Drosophila melanogaster: one gene and its partner. The protein of the gene in region 2 purifies or fractionates together with the protein of the main gene of each other region. This does not show direct contact. Each region holds a gene or a part of one and is shown on either strand. Other genes may lie near its edges.

The links.
Region 1: the proteins of akirin (region 2) and hyd purify together in Drosophila melanogaster (affinity purification with western blotting, with the first as the bait; one study listed by BioGRID). This does not show direct contact.

The regions. Positions count from the first base shown.
Region 1 is NT_033777.3:9,721,726-9,727,250, forward strand, and holds the start of hyd (hyperplastic discs), read right to left. Parts: upstream 3,891-5,525; 5' UTR 3,801-3,890; coding exon 3,739-3,800; intron 2,953-3,738; coding exon 2,755-2,952; intron 2,692-2,754; coding exon 2,412-2,691; intron 2,353-2,411; coding exon 2,135-2,352; intron 2,075-2,134; coding exon 1,836-2,074; intron 1,774-1,835; coding exon 1,583-1,773; intron 1,496-1,582; coding exon 1-1,495. Other genes in the region: FoxP (forkhead box P), read right to left, coding at 4,845-5,288. UniProt on the Drosophila melanogaster protein: E3 ubiquitin-protein ligase which accepts ubiquitin from an E2 ubiquitin-conjugating enzyme in the form of a thioester and then directly transfers the ubiquitin to targeted substrate.
Region 2 is NT_037436.4:7,366,160-7,375,514, reverse strand, and holds akirin (akirin), read right to left. Parts: upstream 5,673-9,355; 5' UTR 5,447-5,672; exon of another isoform or gene 5,331-5,446; intron 5,176-5,330; exon of another isoform or gene 4,965-5,175; intron 4,716-4,964; exon of another isoform or gene 4,490-4,715; intron 3,809-4,489; 5' UTR 3,681-3,808; coding exon 3,443-3,680; intron 3,353-3,442; coding exon 2,996-3,352; intron 2,935-2,995; coding exon 2,924-2,934; 3' UTR 1,804-2,923; downstream 1-1,803. Other genes in the region: SMSr (sphingomyelin synthase related), read left to right, coding at 1-110, 169-335, 400-921; Sh3beta, read left to right, coding at 6,581-6,625, 7,531-7,956, 8,999-9,073, 9,305-9,353. UniProt on the Drosophila melanogaster protein: Molecular adapter that acts as a bridge between a variety of multiprotein complexes, and which is required for embryonic development and for normal innate immune response.

The sequences.
Region 1 (5,525 bases), on a different chromosome or scaffold from region 2:
TCAAATTCACGCCGGAGAGCATGGCCGGCAGGGAGATTGTGGACATAGTGATTGACTTCACCGGAGGAAGATCAAACCATTGCGGATCCTTGATCGAGCCAAGGCAATCCTTGGCCAAGGGATATAGGGCTCCATTGCCATCACGAAGCACAATGGTACTGCTGTTTCCGCTGCAGTCGTCGTTGCAAGCCATTAATATGTTGCCAGGCGTGGAGCCAATAAAAGAGTTGCAGTCCGTGGGAAATAGGCAATTTTGCTCCTGCTTGCAGTTATACAGGTTGTAAAGGCTGTAGTGGATTTTGCCGAGAACCTTCTTGATCACATGAATGCCGCGCGAGTCCACGGCCAGGGTGAGTATTTGTGCGCCAGCTGCATCACCACCAACGTTAATCTTTTTCGGCTGTTTTTGCAACCAGTCTGGGCCACGGGTGGACATAGCAGTGCGAAATATCTGGACATCTTCGCGTCTCAGCAGCCGACACTGCTGCCAGTCGTCCTCCTTGCCCTCTTCCTTGGATGTGGAGGCTGTGTTAGATGTGGAACTTGTTGCGGCAGCAGCAGCAGCAACGGCTGCTGCATTTATTGCCGGAAAACGAACGGCAACAAAGTCGCCGTCGACCTTAAGCACCTTTCCCACTGGGCCCACCTTGTCCTCGACAAACACCACGTCCTTCACTTCCCACAGCTCCTCATCCTTCCTTCCCTCCTGCGGGGCATTGGAGTCCTCTTTCGTAGTAGCTCGCTTAGTACGCTTGTGGGATGTGACGCTGCCGGTGTCGCTGCATGTGCTGGATGCCGGTGAAGGCGGAGGTGGCATGTCGATGCGATCTGTTGACTCCTTGCTGTTTGAGAAGGATTGTCCATTCTTACTACTTCCAGTGCTGGGCATTGCCGTGGACTTTGGCAGATCTTTATCCGGAGTAATTCCATGGGCATTAAGATTATTGCCGGCTGCTTGGGATTTGTCTACGCCAGAGTTCGTGTTAATATTTATGATTTTCATGCGGCACACATCGGTGAAGGTCCAGACTGAATTCAAAAGCTGCCCCACCTTTGGGACGCCATTGGAGCATGTGAATCCGATTGATCCAGATTGATACATGGGACACTTCTTCATTATCACTTGAGCACCCACATTAATATCGGTGGCAACCACCTTAAAGGGTTTCTTGGTCTTGGTCCGGAATTTGTCCCACAAGAAGCGGCGTTGATCAAACGGCAGGACTCCCCACCAATATATGTTGTTGCTTTCGGTCTTAACAACCGTGTATAGCGAGCAGACGTAGATCTTTGTTATGGAGTCCGATATAAACTCGTTAAACGCGCAGCAACTGTGCTCCAGCTTGGCGCCGATGTAACCTAGTTGCTCGTCCATCCAAGTTGCTACTCGATTGGTTTCTGTAACAACGGAGCATCTGATGAAGTTGGCCGAAATAAGCTCCACTCTTTCAACTATGTTGAGGGAAACAGTTTTGGGATGATAAACGTTTTCAGTCTGCAAAATAGGATAAATTATGAGTTAAAGTATGAGTAAAGATTTCAATAAAACTTTGGTTTATATTATTTTATATTATTTCCTTACCTCCGACTTATAAGGCTCTGCATCTGACCAGCGCCACTGGTACAAATCTCCGCTCTCTGACAAGGCAATGAACTCCGAATACAAAGCTCCTATGGTCTTGAACCTTACGGAACTTTTCTCTGGCCATGGCTGCAATTCTTCAGATATCCAAATGGGGGACAACATGGGGGATGGCTCTTTTTTCTTGGAATCTAAATTAAAGTAGGTGTCAGTGTAGCAAGAGGATCATCGTCTTTGCATTTTATCAACTTACCAGCATCCTTCTCCCAGGTATAGTCGTCTTTGCTTATCCAGCGTCGTGGTCCGTAGTACTGACGATCCCGCCAACGACTAAAAGCCTCGCGGTCAGCATTAACTGATATTTGAGCTGAAAGTCCACTGTTACCAGTTAAGGCAGTGCCTGAACTTGTTGAGCGGGTCGTCGATTGGTTACTGTCTGCGGCATTTGCGTTGGCATTACTGCGTTCACTACGAATGCGATCGAACAGCAAGCTGGCCAAATGTAAAACAATAAGTTTAATTCGGTTTTTGTGTTTATTTAAAATTACTTACTTTCGAATGCTGGAGTAGTTGCTAAATATCTCCTCCGAGAAAAGCCCATCTGAGGGATCTATGATGACGCTGTTGTTATCTCCACTGAACCCATTATCCAGCAGGGAGATAAGGTCTTCGGGCACGTAATTATCGGCACCTTCTTCGGTATCTTCAGCTTCTTCATCATCGCGCGAAAGCAAATTGTTCACAGCTAAGTTAACATCGAGGTTGGTGCGCTATTGAGGGAATTGTATGATATTACACGAATAAGATGTTCTTGTATCGATGAATTTACCTGTAATTCTCTAATTATGAGATTTCTGCTCTTGCCCTGTAGAACCACCTCTGCTTGGGATATGAGCTCCTCCGGCACATATGTAGCCGGAACTGTTACTAAGGGTCGGCTCGATGTACTGCCTCCAATGATGACCCCTGTGCTACGAGATCCGGACCCCTGTCCGGTGGAATTGGAGCGACCTGTTGCGCGCAGCAGGCGTGCTCTTGAGCGGGCCATCGGTCGGGATGAGGATGGGGCTTTCGAAGCACTGGCCGTTCCGCTGCCACCACTGGTGGAACTATAAATAAACATCAATCAACAAACATTCGAATCTATGTAACTGGTACACCATTAAGCTTACCATTTTGCGTCTGATTTGGTCAAGTCAAGTTTCTCAGAATTTATAGAAAAGGACACGCGGAATGCCTTGCCATCCTCCAGTAAAACTCCAATGTGCGCGGGACCAATGACGACTTCCTTCACTGGAATTTTCAACTGTTCGAATATGCGATGGCTGCCATAACCAAATCGGTTCACCTTATCCGACACTTCACGAATCCTAAAATGGGAGAAAATGTATTAAGAATACGAGCAAGTCGATGCATGTTCTAAATCTCCTAAGCGTAGGGTGCATTTTATGGATGATTTCTGGCCTTGCCAGACTTTTTATGATTGACGACTGGAAAATTTAAAGCTTCTAAGAAAAGTGCACATCACCAAGGAAGAAAAAGAGCCGGTGTTACGATTATTTGGCGTTTAAAGGTTTTGGGTTATGGAAAACGCTGAACGATTTCATGCCATGTGCTGAAAGAGCGACATTCGGCGAAATATAATGTACAAATCAAGCATGTGAAAACATGTTTGTAACATTGTACATTTTAGTCGGAAGCATGGACTTCTGCAAGCTTCTTTCGAGAAGCTTATAATATAAACATTTCAATAGTTTGCTCAGCACAAATAGTTAAATATGAACAAATTAATCAGCATGTATGCACATGCACTCACACATGCTACCGTTCACATGTCGCACACATTCGCACACACACACATATGCGAATGGTTAGAGAATTAATTGTGGATGAAAAGTGGGAAACGCAAGTGCATTTCGCAAATTCTGCGGCTAATGTTTACAGAACCGCGTGGACGGCACTAGATGAGGTAAGTCCGCCAGTGTCTGTGGCTCGCGTTTTACGTTAATGATCATATGTACATATCTTCCTGCGTATACATATAGCTGCGTACCTACATATTTTCACATAACAAATACATGCAGCCGTACGTACACAATTACACGGAATTCCGCGTTCACATGTGCGTAATTGCGGTACGCGAGGATTATATTTACCTTTCAATAAACTGATCGTCCGAGCCCGGTAGCGGTTGCAAAACAAATTGCATGGAAACCATTTTAATTTTTCAACTATTCATGTACACAGTGTCCTCGTTGAATTTTCATGTCACAAAACGTTGAGAGACTTTCAGAGTGACCGTACTGGCTAGAGCTGGGACGAAAACCGATGCCGCCCGACTGTATCGATGGTTGCCGGAAAATTCGACGGTATCGATACATTCTCCAAACAAATTTATTGGTAAACAAAAACTTTACTTTCAAATTAAATTGACATTGACTACAATATGTGTACTTAGGCTGTATATATTTTATTAAATTTAAGATACAGAAGTTCACGAATGCGTCCATTCTTATCGGTTGTTTTTCCTTAAATAGTGGCAGTCCAAAAAATCTCCAATAGAATATACTAAAATATACTAAAGACCGCTTTAAAATAATGAATTGGTAGAAAACTTTGATTGACAAACTTTTGAGAAGCCGATTTAACCGCTTTTACGTCGCGTAAACCGTTTGCTTAGGAACTAGAAATAAAATTCAGTTTGTTCACTTTGTTGTATATTTGAGGAATTTATTTAGGTCACTGAGTATCGTTAATGATCTTAAATTAGAAGGAAATTAGATAAGTCAGCAGAAAAGCATATACGTTTACTAAGGAGTTTCCAAATCTAAAGCTCTCAAGGGTCCAGATTTTTAACAGAAGGTATACCTGAAAATAGTTTCCTTAAAAAAAAATCATATTGTGACTTTTAAAACAGTTTTGTTAAAATTTTATCAAGCTATAGCTTTTAAATGTTTTCTCCCTTGCTGAAAAGTGAAAATATTCATATATGTTGTACTCGTATATTAAAATCGTGTTATAAGTGGAGTTATTAAAGCAAGTTTAAACACATTAATTTTGCTTTAATAATTTAACGTAGTTCTTTCGTTTATTTTATAGCATTAGTGAAATTTATTTTAAAAGTATTTTTTCATTTCTATTTGGGAAATTATACATAGAACCATGTGTATGTACAGATATAATTTCCGAATCCGAACCTTCTTACCAAACGCAGATTACTCGACAATGCATCTAAATATATGTATAGTTAATGATATATTATTTATCGATTGTGCTCATTGGCACTACTCTCGTACATATTAGTAGAATATTCATCGATTGTCAAGTGGCTGTTACTTTCGATCATACCCGAGTCCATATTGCTATAGTCCTTGGACGCTTTACTTAAACCATCACTACCGCAATAGGGAAGACAACCAATTCTGCCTAAATCATTTGGATTATTGGAATCTAGAGGATTATCAGCACCCGGTGGCAAACTAGTGCAATGTTGCGTACAATTGTCGCAGGGATTCTTATCAGTGGGCACACCATTGCCGGATTGGCATGAATTTGGGGAGGAGGACGGTTCATATTTCCGGGGTCTCCCTCTCGACAAGTGCCGCCTTTTGACAAACTCATTATCGTCGACCATCCAAAACGAGCCAAAGTCATCTTCATAACGTACAAAGCACTTGTGTAAGGAAAGGTTCGTACGAATCGCATTCTTTATGATTGGTTGGACAAAACAAGAGCCCCATCAAGAGTCAGAAACAGGAAATTGCATTATCGTGAAAGGAAGAAAAAGTTCATTGAGATATTAAGGTTAGTTCATTTGTCTTCGGTCTTCTTATTTTCATTTTTCATAACACGCGAAATCCTGGATAATCTTCATCAGCTAAATTCCAGACAGACAGACAGACAGATCGATGAGCAGACGGACATCATTTTGGGTTTCTACCAC
Region 2 (9,355 bases):
CATCTGGAGCGGCCTGGGCATGTCCATTCAGGGAGTGCGGACCTGCGGCGATTATATGTTTAGTGGTCACACGGTGGCCTTGACCCTGCTCAACTTCTTTATCACAGAATGTGTGTTATTTATTTATATTTCCTATGCTGCTTACTGACTTACACTCTGATCTTTCAGACACGCCGCGGAATCTGTACTTCCTGCACACGCTGACCTGGCTGCTCAACATGTTTGGCATATTCTTCATCCTGGCTGCCCACGAGCACTACTCCATCGATGTGTTTGTGGCCTTCTATATCACCTCACGTCTGTTTCTGTACTATCATACTCTAGCAAATAACAGGGTGAGCATTTAACAGCTTCGTTTTTGTTTAGAAAGGGCATTCTAATAATAATTTATTTCCACAGGCTCTCATGCAAAGCGACTCCAAGAGGACGCGTGTTTGGTTTCCCATGTTTAGCTACTTCGAGAGCAGTGTCGATGGAATGGTGCCCAATGAATACGATACACTTGGCTCCCTCATCGATGGGATTATTGAGCAGATCTTCAAGGCCAAGGATCAATTGGCCATATCCGTGAAGCGCTGCTGGCTGGATGCCCCGCTGTCCGGCAATTCATCGGCTCACATGTTTGGCGGAGAATCTGAACAATGTTTGCGCAATGGCACAGCATCGGCCGCTTTCTTTAGTCCTCACCAGTCGCTGATCGGAGGATTGGGTGGTCAGAGGAGCCAGACGCATTTGAATAGCGCCCAATCCGGGTCCTCCACACCCACACCAGCTACATCGGCGCCGACCAAGAGTTTGCCGACCCAAAAGAAGACCTTCAGGGATGCGAGTGTGGATCCCTTTTCGCGCACGACGTTCGCTGCGGTCCAGCAGGCAGAAAACGTCAAGGATTCGCCGATGAAGGAAAAGAAGCATCTCTGATTCTCACAGCCATTCGCTCTTCCACATTCGTATATCGATATCGATGTCGCTCTTCGAAAAGCAAACATGCAGAAACTAACCATACCGACTGATATTTTTATTTCGAAATTTCCATCGATCCCCTTCCTTTCACAGCTCTCCCCTGTATTATTGACAGCATTCTACCATTTGTAGTGCCTTCCGGGTCAGATCCCCCCAGATCATCCACCCACCATTTAGAAAGTCGTTGTGTCCCCCAAGAGCCTTTCCTTAGTTTACTTGTGGAATTTTATGAATATCGAAGTTTTTTTTAGCCGGGAGATGCTCCACGTCGGCTTTGAATTGATTATGATGATAAGATAGCCCTCCTCATTCCGTTCAATTGAGTTTTGAACTAAATGTATTTATTATTGAAGACTTTTTAATGCATTATTATGTAATTGTAAGCATGTGAATCAAGCGTATTTTTAGTTAACTAGTGTTAAGTTTGGAAAGTTTCTGTTGAACGCACAAACACATTAAATAAATCAAAATGAATATTCTCAGAGTCTGGAGAAGCCACTGTAAAGGTTATTCATAATTTTATTCACAAATGGAAAGTTTTGCACAAAAGGTATCTCTCATTTTGCTCAGTCTTTTCCCCACCTATGGCAGTTTTGCTAGATTCGCAAATTATATTGAAAAACCTGGTTAATCATTTAGCATTAGCTGGATTTGGAGCAACCAGAACCAATTGAGTTTTATTCGGATAATACGGGTTGGTATAAAAAAAAGAATATTGTGGTTTATAAACGGATGAAATTAAGAGTTCGCTTCACAAACAGAATAAAAAGCTTTAAAAAGAAAAGACCAGCGGGCATCTACAATTCATCATTTTATTTTTGTTTGTTTTAATATAAAAATGGCATTTCTTTACTAATTTTAAGTTTAAATTACTAATATAAAGTAGTATGTATGATTGCGGTAATTGAAAAATATATATATATATATATATCATATATTCTCGTATATATTCTTCAAGGTGTGAAAAAATAATTGCAATGAACATGAAACATCTTCTGTCAAGCGTATTTTATAAGAAAGCGTTCAATTTAACTTAATGAATAACTTTTATACCTTTTTTGTTGTTTGCCTTTTCTTTTCGTTATTCATTTTTGTATGGTGTAAAGCAAATCGAAACATTTCAATTGTTTTGTGTGTTTACATTACTTTGCAATAATTCGCATCAAAGGAAGAAACAATTAACAAACGATACTCGAGAAAATAGGCAAATTCAAGCGTTCGTTTCTCGCCTTAGTGTTACAACTAATATGCAAAAATAAACTATGAAAAGTGTTCTTCATGAGTTGTGAGTTATCTTTGTTGCTTCGCTTCATAAATTACAATTTCCAAAAAAACAATATATGTAGTTTGATAGGTTTTACATCATACCTTATATGCTACATCATGTGCCTAACATTATATATTTGCCAATTCTGTCGGTCTGTTATGTACGAAGCTACGTTTGAGGTTTCATTGAATCGTTCTCTCTACGGATGCACCCATATGTATATGTCTGCAGTGGCGGTGTGCTTATAGTTCATATAGTTCATAATTTGATATTTGTCATTTTATTTAGAATTTGCGTTATGTGAAAAACATAAATTTAACAAGTTGGTTTGTTGGTTTCTCTCTTTTGTGGTTTTTGCTTGCTTTTAAATAATTCATCCCTTTGCTGCTAACCGATACAATATATATATGTAAATCTAGGCATAAACTATAACCGTTTTCTTCGCGTGTATTTCAAAATATATTAAACACGATGTATGTTGTAGTTTGTTTTTTTTTTTTTGTTTGTTTTTAGGTTTTTTGCTTTTTAGGTTTTTTTTTTTTGTTGGTTTGTTTTGCGTTTGCTTTAGTTTCCTTATTTGTTGTTTGTTATAGTTTATGAGGGCTGTTGTTGTCGCGGTAGATCTACCGTCACATAAGATCGTAGTGCAATTATTAATTTCTTCTTTCTGAGGCTACAGCTGTGTACACAGCTTTACGACAGGTCTGAAATAAAAATATAATGTAATTAGCACTATAACCATGACCGATGGTAACTTGAACTCACAGCTAGGCGCTGCCTCGTAGCGACGCTGTATCTGATCATATGTGAACTTGACAAAGGCATCGTACTGCTCGGCCAGCTTGGTGGTCAGCACGGACTCGTAGCGCTCCCTTAGCTGATTCTCGCGCTCCTTGATCATGCTCTCGCAAATGAGCTGCACCTGCTTGAACGTGAACAGGGCCTTTTCGCCGTGGCGCATCAGGTTCTGTGGACTGTCCGGGCGGCGCGGACTCTCTGGACCCATCTCCGATCCGCTGGACTCCGAATCCTGCATGCGTTCCAAGGCCGACGAAGTGATCGGCAGCTGTTTGCGCTTGTGCAGTCTCTTGATCTCATTGCACAAGCTCTCGGCCATTTTGTCTGTGTTTCGAAAAGAAGAAAGGTGTATTAAGGTAATATGCATAAAAGGAATCCGACGTCCCTTTTCCAGCATCGACCTGATTTACTAACCTGGTGACATTTTGGCCAGCGACGACTCACTGAACGGACTAGGTTCGGTGCTATCCTTGGCGAATCGGTTGCTGGGCGTGTGGGGCAGACCAGCCGAGGTGCTGGGACCGTCGCGGGATGGCGACGCTGGACCTGCATTGCTCCCAGCCTGGCCAAAGGGATTGCAACGCCGGCGCTTCGGAGGCCGCTGGTTCATCGACTCCCAGTCTAGGGCTCGTTTCAGGGTTGCACAGGCCATCGCTATGATTGAGGTTCTACTACCCGGTGGTCTTCTGATAGATAGATGGCTTGCTTGATTGTCGGTAGATGCTGATTATTGCCTCGATTCCAAATGATGGATGCTGCAGATGGAAGATCAAGCGTCGGCTGCAATGGGCAAACAAACAATGAATGAGTAAGGTGAAGTGAACACCTTGCTGGCAAAGAAAAGACGGACGCAAACTGGTTTCAAGGAAAAAACAGGATTCACAGGCGTGCACTCACGCACACGCAGCCGATAAAAGAAAATGGTGCAGCGATTTATGGCCGCCAATGCTGGCAATTTGGACTTTTTCTCGCCTTGTATGTATCGTGGGCAACAATTGTACGCTCTCTTATCTTATCGCTTATGGGGCGTGATTTTGGAAATAATTTGAGGCTTCAACGCTACAAAACAAGGGCCTTTGCTTAAAAAGAGCGCCGAAAATAGGAAGGTACAAAAATTTTTAGTAAATACTTTTCGCTAGTCAAAGTTGCTAGCAATGCATAATTTGAAAAGCTATTATCCGATATTTTCCCCAGAAAGCTATTAAAAATAGAAATGCCAGTAAAAAACTTTTAAATGCGAAGTTCGCGTAAGTTTAATGACTTTGATGACGTCCGTTTTACCTAAATAATCATGACAAGAGAGGAAAAAAAATTCAAGACAACAAAAAAATGTTTTTTTTCCCCCATTTCGTCACGATTAAATTATATTGTTCAATAAAATTAGTAAGCAATTAAACATATTGTTATATTCTTATATTCATAGCTTTTTCTAGAATAGAATGACAAAACCATTTTAAAAACCTAATTTTTATGAGACTATTATAGTTTCCACGACAATTAAAAGGATGTTGGCTTCCTTGGGGTTTCTAGCTTCTTTCGGCTATCGCCGACAGCTCCGATACCGTGCACCCAGCTGCTGTTGTCGCAGGAAAAGGGCGATACCGAATCGGAATACGAATCCAGAAACTCCGAAGAGAAGGAGAAACCAGCCAAAGAAAGCGACGAAACGAAGTGGCGCAGCGCAATTAAAGGACGACCGACAATGAAAATAAAAAAAACCACCACGCAAAGGCAAAATGCATAGCAATGCAGAGGGAAAATAAAGAAAACAGAGAAAAGTGTAAACTGTAACCCAATAGCAGAACAACCACCGATAAAAGAAAACTACGCAGGATAATAATGCGTGTTCTTCTCACTCTTCCCCTTTCTTTCTTTTCTTCTTCTTCGTCGCTGCAGCGGCAGCTGTACCAGCTGTTTTCCGCACTAACACACGCACACTGCCCTCTCGATAAACCGCAACACGTGTGTATGCGTCTGCTGCTGGTGTTGCTGTCTCTGCCCACAATTATTAAATATTTAAAGCCATATACAAAACGTTTTTGGGTTTAACGTTATACTCTTTTACGTGACAAATGCCAGAGATTAGTTTAAAAAAAAGCAAACGAAATGGCAGCAGCCAAAGCGATCACACTGGTTGTCCCACTCTAGCCTGCACACGCACGCACACAAAGAAACGCACACGCACACCGTTGTGAGTTGGAATGTTGATTTCATGAAATTTTAAAAATGGTCGCATCGCATATCATTATCAGCTTTTCAGAGGAACAAAAAGTTAAACAGCTTTTCCAACAATCGCACTTACATTAATGCGTATTTTGATTTTTCCTTCCGACTGCTTTTTTGCTTTCTGCACCACTTCACACGCGCTTTATTTACTTTTTTATTGTGCCACTAGTCCGCTGGCACATACCCACTTACATTCACGTCCGTACTTCAGTTTGGGTGATTAATTTAGGTTTTCGGTTAGATATAAGTAATGTTATTGCTTGCTGGTTGTTTGAGCAGTATTCCAAAGGCCACTGAAATGCACTGTCAATAGTTGTTCGTCCTCGGCGACTCGCTAGATATAATTTACAAATTTTCGTCTCGCTTCTTAGCAAAAATGGACGACGATGCTTGCGTGACGGGACGTGAACAGAGTGACCGCATGGCGACCGCTAATATTGGTTGCCCTGCTAACGGATCTATACCAAAAAATACTTTATGGTTCTACCAAATATAGCAAAAACTTCAAATAACCGAAAAGTCTGGGGAGAACATTTTTCAATTGCATATTCTATGTACTTTCTTGAGTCCTATAACCTTAAGTCGTTTGTAGAAAGTTAGCATTATTGCATTTTTATTTTTATGGAATTCAACTCCAAGTAACAAAAAATTAATAAATAAAAAACACCCTCATGTTCTAAATTCCACCGTTCCTTGAAGCCGCTAACTCATCGACGCCAAATTAAAAATAATTTGTTCTATAATAAGAATCCTTTTCTTCTATCTTTTAAAAAACCTTAAAAAGCCTATCTTATGCTTTTTATAAATTATTATTTTATTATTACGATTATTAATCGAAGAACGTTTAAAAAATGAAAACCTTACATGGGAGCATAATAAAATTTAAGTTGTCTTAAAAATATTTAATTTTGAAATATCACTTAAGTTCAAAGTTTTTAGTATTTTAATCAAGCATCATATTTAGTATATTTGATAAGCCGGAAGGTTTTCTATAGCCGTCAATGCGCGGTCCCACCATTCAATTCAACGACAAAGTAGGAAATATTTTCCACTCCTGATATCAAATATTTTTGCACTTTTATAAGCGTCGCCAGGCAATTTTTTTATCCGCGTCTTTGCCGTTTTTACAGCCAATAAAACCAACGACCTTGCCCAGTGCGTGTGCCTTCGTCACCAGTGGAAAAACATTACGTAGGGGCGCAGGACGGAAGAAAGCAGGAAAAGAAAAGATCTATAAATATTTTTAATCGCCGTGAAAGTAGCCAGCAGATTTTAGTTGCAAAATATTATTTCATTTGCGGTGCGAGGACACAGTAATCTGCGAAAATGGTCTTGAAAGTCTACGTCAGCGGCATGTCCGGCAATAAGGAGGTGAGTTTGTGGGCGTGGCGGGCTTAAAACCGAAATAGTGTCATGTTATTGGAATGTTTGGCCCTGGTATTAGCGACAAACAGATAAAAAGGAAAAGAAGCAAACTAAAGTGGTGACGAACGCATTGCAAATTCTATTTCTTCTGCTGCGTTTCGTCTTTGTGTGTATGTACGTGAGTTGGACAATGATGATGATGTAGTGTGTGGTATGTAAGTCTGTATGTCTGTACAGTCAAAGAAAAACAAGTGGGTATTTTCGTGAGTGCCCTTGTGTGCGAGTGTTAGTGGTGGCAAGAAGCAGAACAAACATACATTTCATTGCCCATATAAGCTCATTCCACTGTGAACTGTAAATTGTTCATGGAAGAGAGGGATTTCCATTGATCGCAGTTGCGTGGGTGCGTGTGCATGTGTGTGTGTGTGTACATGCGTGAGGGGTGATTCACTTCCCCCTCTCACTCTTTCGGTGCCTTTGTTCAATTGGCAATCTTCCTCTTCCAATAAGAACAAAAACATAACGGTCATTGTACGGTTCACAATTATTTGTTTTTGTCCTGTCTTTGTACACTTTAAAAAAGCGTTGGGAAACACATATTCTTATCGTAAGATAAATGCTGGGGTGCAACAAACCATTTTAATTAGCCTTATCATATCGCGTGGTTCTGGCGTTCTTTTTACGTACATATGTTTATATCGGCGGGGAGTTGGCTTTGTGTGCGCTTGTGTGCGTTTGGGCTTGCCGGTAACACTTCATTAGCGATTTGTCATCGCTGTAATTAACAGCGTTGTCAAAGGTAGCTACACTGAACAAAACGATACATGTTAAAGGTATTTTATATACTTTAATTTTTAACTTTCTTTTCAAATTTAAATGCTTTCACTGACCGTCGAAATCCAATTTTACAGGTGAAGAAGCGCCAGCAGCGCGTTCTGATGATCCTGGACAGCAAGAACATCAAGTACGACACGGTGGACATCACGGAGCCCGGCAAGGAATCCGAGAAGGAGCTGATGCAAAACAAATCGACAAGCAACGGTGGAACGGTCAGCGATCCAGAGCCCCGTCATCCGCTTCCTCCGCAGCTGTTCAACGACGACGAGTACTGCGGTGATTACGACGCCTTTGACATGGCCAACGAGATCGATACCCTGGAGGTGTTCCTCAAGCTGGCTCCAGCCGACACCACGGCAGTTAGTACCGCCCAAATCGAACTGAAGCAGGAGAACGGCGATGCCAAGAAGGAGGAGGCGGAAACGGAGGCGGAGGATAAGAAAACGGAGGCCGGCGATGGCGATGTGGATGTCAAGGAGGAGGCTGCTGAGAAGGCCGAGGTTTGAACTTGAGCTATTTTCACGTATTTTCCGTTAACTGTTACGACGCAACAAACGCAGCCAGCAATCATCTGCAGCAGAGCAATAGAATTAACAACAACAGCAATGTCTTGAAACTAAAGCCCTTACACTTAACAGCAGAAATAACACCCAATGTTTACCTAACAGCACAGATACTACCAACTTTCTACATACATATATCAATATTTTATGGAGCCCGTCTTCGATTTCTATGCCCATAGGGATTTGGGGGAGTTGTATAGATAATTGCAGAATATGAAGTGCAATCTTCCTTTTAAATTATACAAAATTTACAAAACTAACTTTTAAAACTACGAGATTTATTTAGAGACTTTTTAGACCTTCATCGGTAGAGCATGAAATCGAAGATCTTTCAATTTTTAACGAATTCATTATGACTACTGCGGTTCTTAAGCTAAGTTCATGAGCGTATTTAAACGAGGGCATTCGATTGTGTTGGCCCCCGGTGAAAAGACAATTTTAATCAAAATATTTATATTCATTAACTGACATCCAAACAACTTGTATGTACCATTTATACACACCTGTAATAAGGACTCGGAATACTTACTCGGAGCACTTAAGCCTAAGTTGGAGTAGTGTAGAGAGCTGAAATTTATTGTGCAGCCGTTATGTTAATGCTAAAACATAAAAAAGCGCTGCCCCTGTAATAAAAGGAAATATATTTGTATTAACTAAAAAAAAAAACTATAACCAATCGCAAGCTTGTTTTTCTAACACTATGCAACACACTCAAACTCTAACACCAACTTATCAACGGCTAGTTTAACAATGAGAATGTGACAACTTAATTTACAAAAAGGCTTTTTTAATACCAAATATCTATAGAGAGATTTTCCAAAGTTGGTCTTTAGGTTTGACGAAAAAAACTTTTCACGAAAAGTACAGGAATATGGTGAATTTCAATATTCTTGAGCAATTTTGTTGCCTTAAAGACCGACTTTTTCGAAACAGTTTCGTAATGTAAAAACATTACTAACAATTGAGTGATTCTCTAAAGAACGAAGACGGCAAGGACAAGGAGAATTCAAAGGGCGAGGATGAAGACGCAGATGAAGAGAATGCCGAGCAAAAGGTAATAGATCGATAGATCCTGCATGACCGAACCATAACTCTAGGCTTTTAGAGCTTATAGGAGCTAACAAAGGCATGATCTCTTGCACTGTAGTAGCCTAGCGATTGTCTGATCTTGTAAATACAACTTCCACTTTACCCCCCCCCCCCCCAAAAAAAAAAAAAAAACGAAAAACCACCAATCAACAACCCACAAAACATTCGCACCCCTAATCCCACCACCCACAAAAAGACTGAAACCGAAGAATCTGGGGACAAGAAAACGGAGGAGAAAACTACAGGT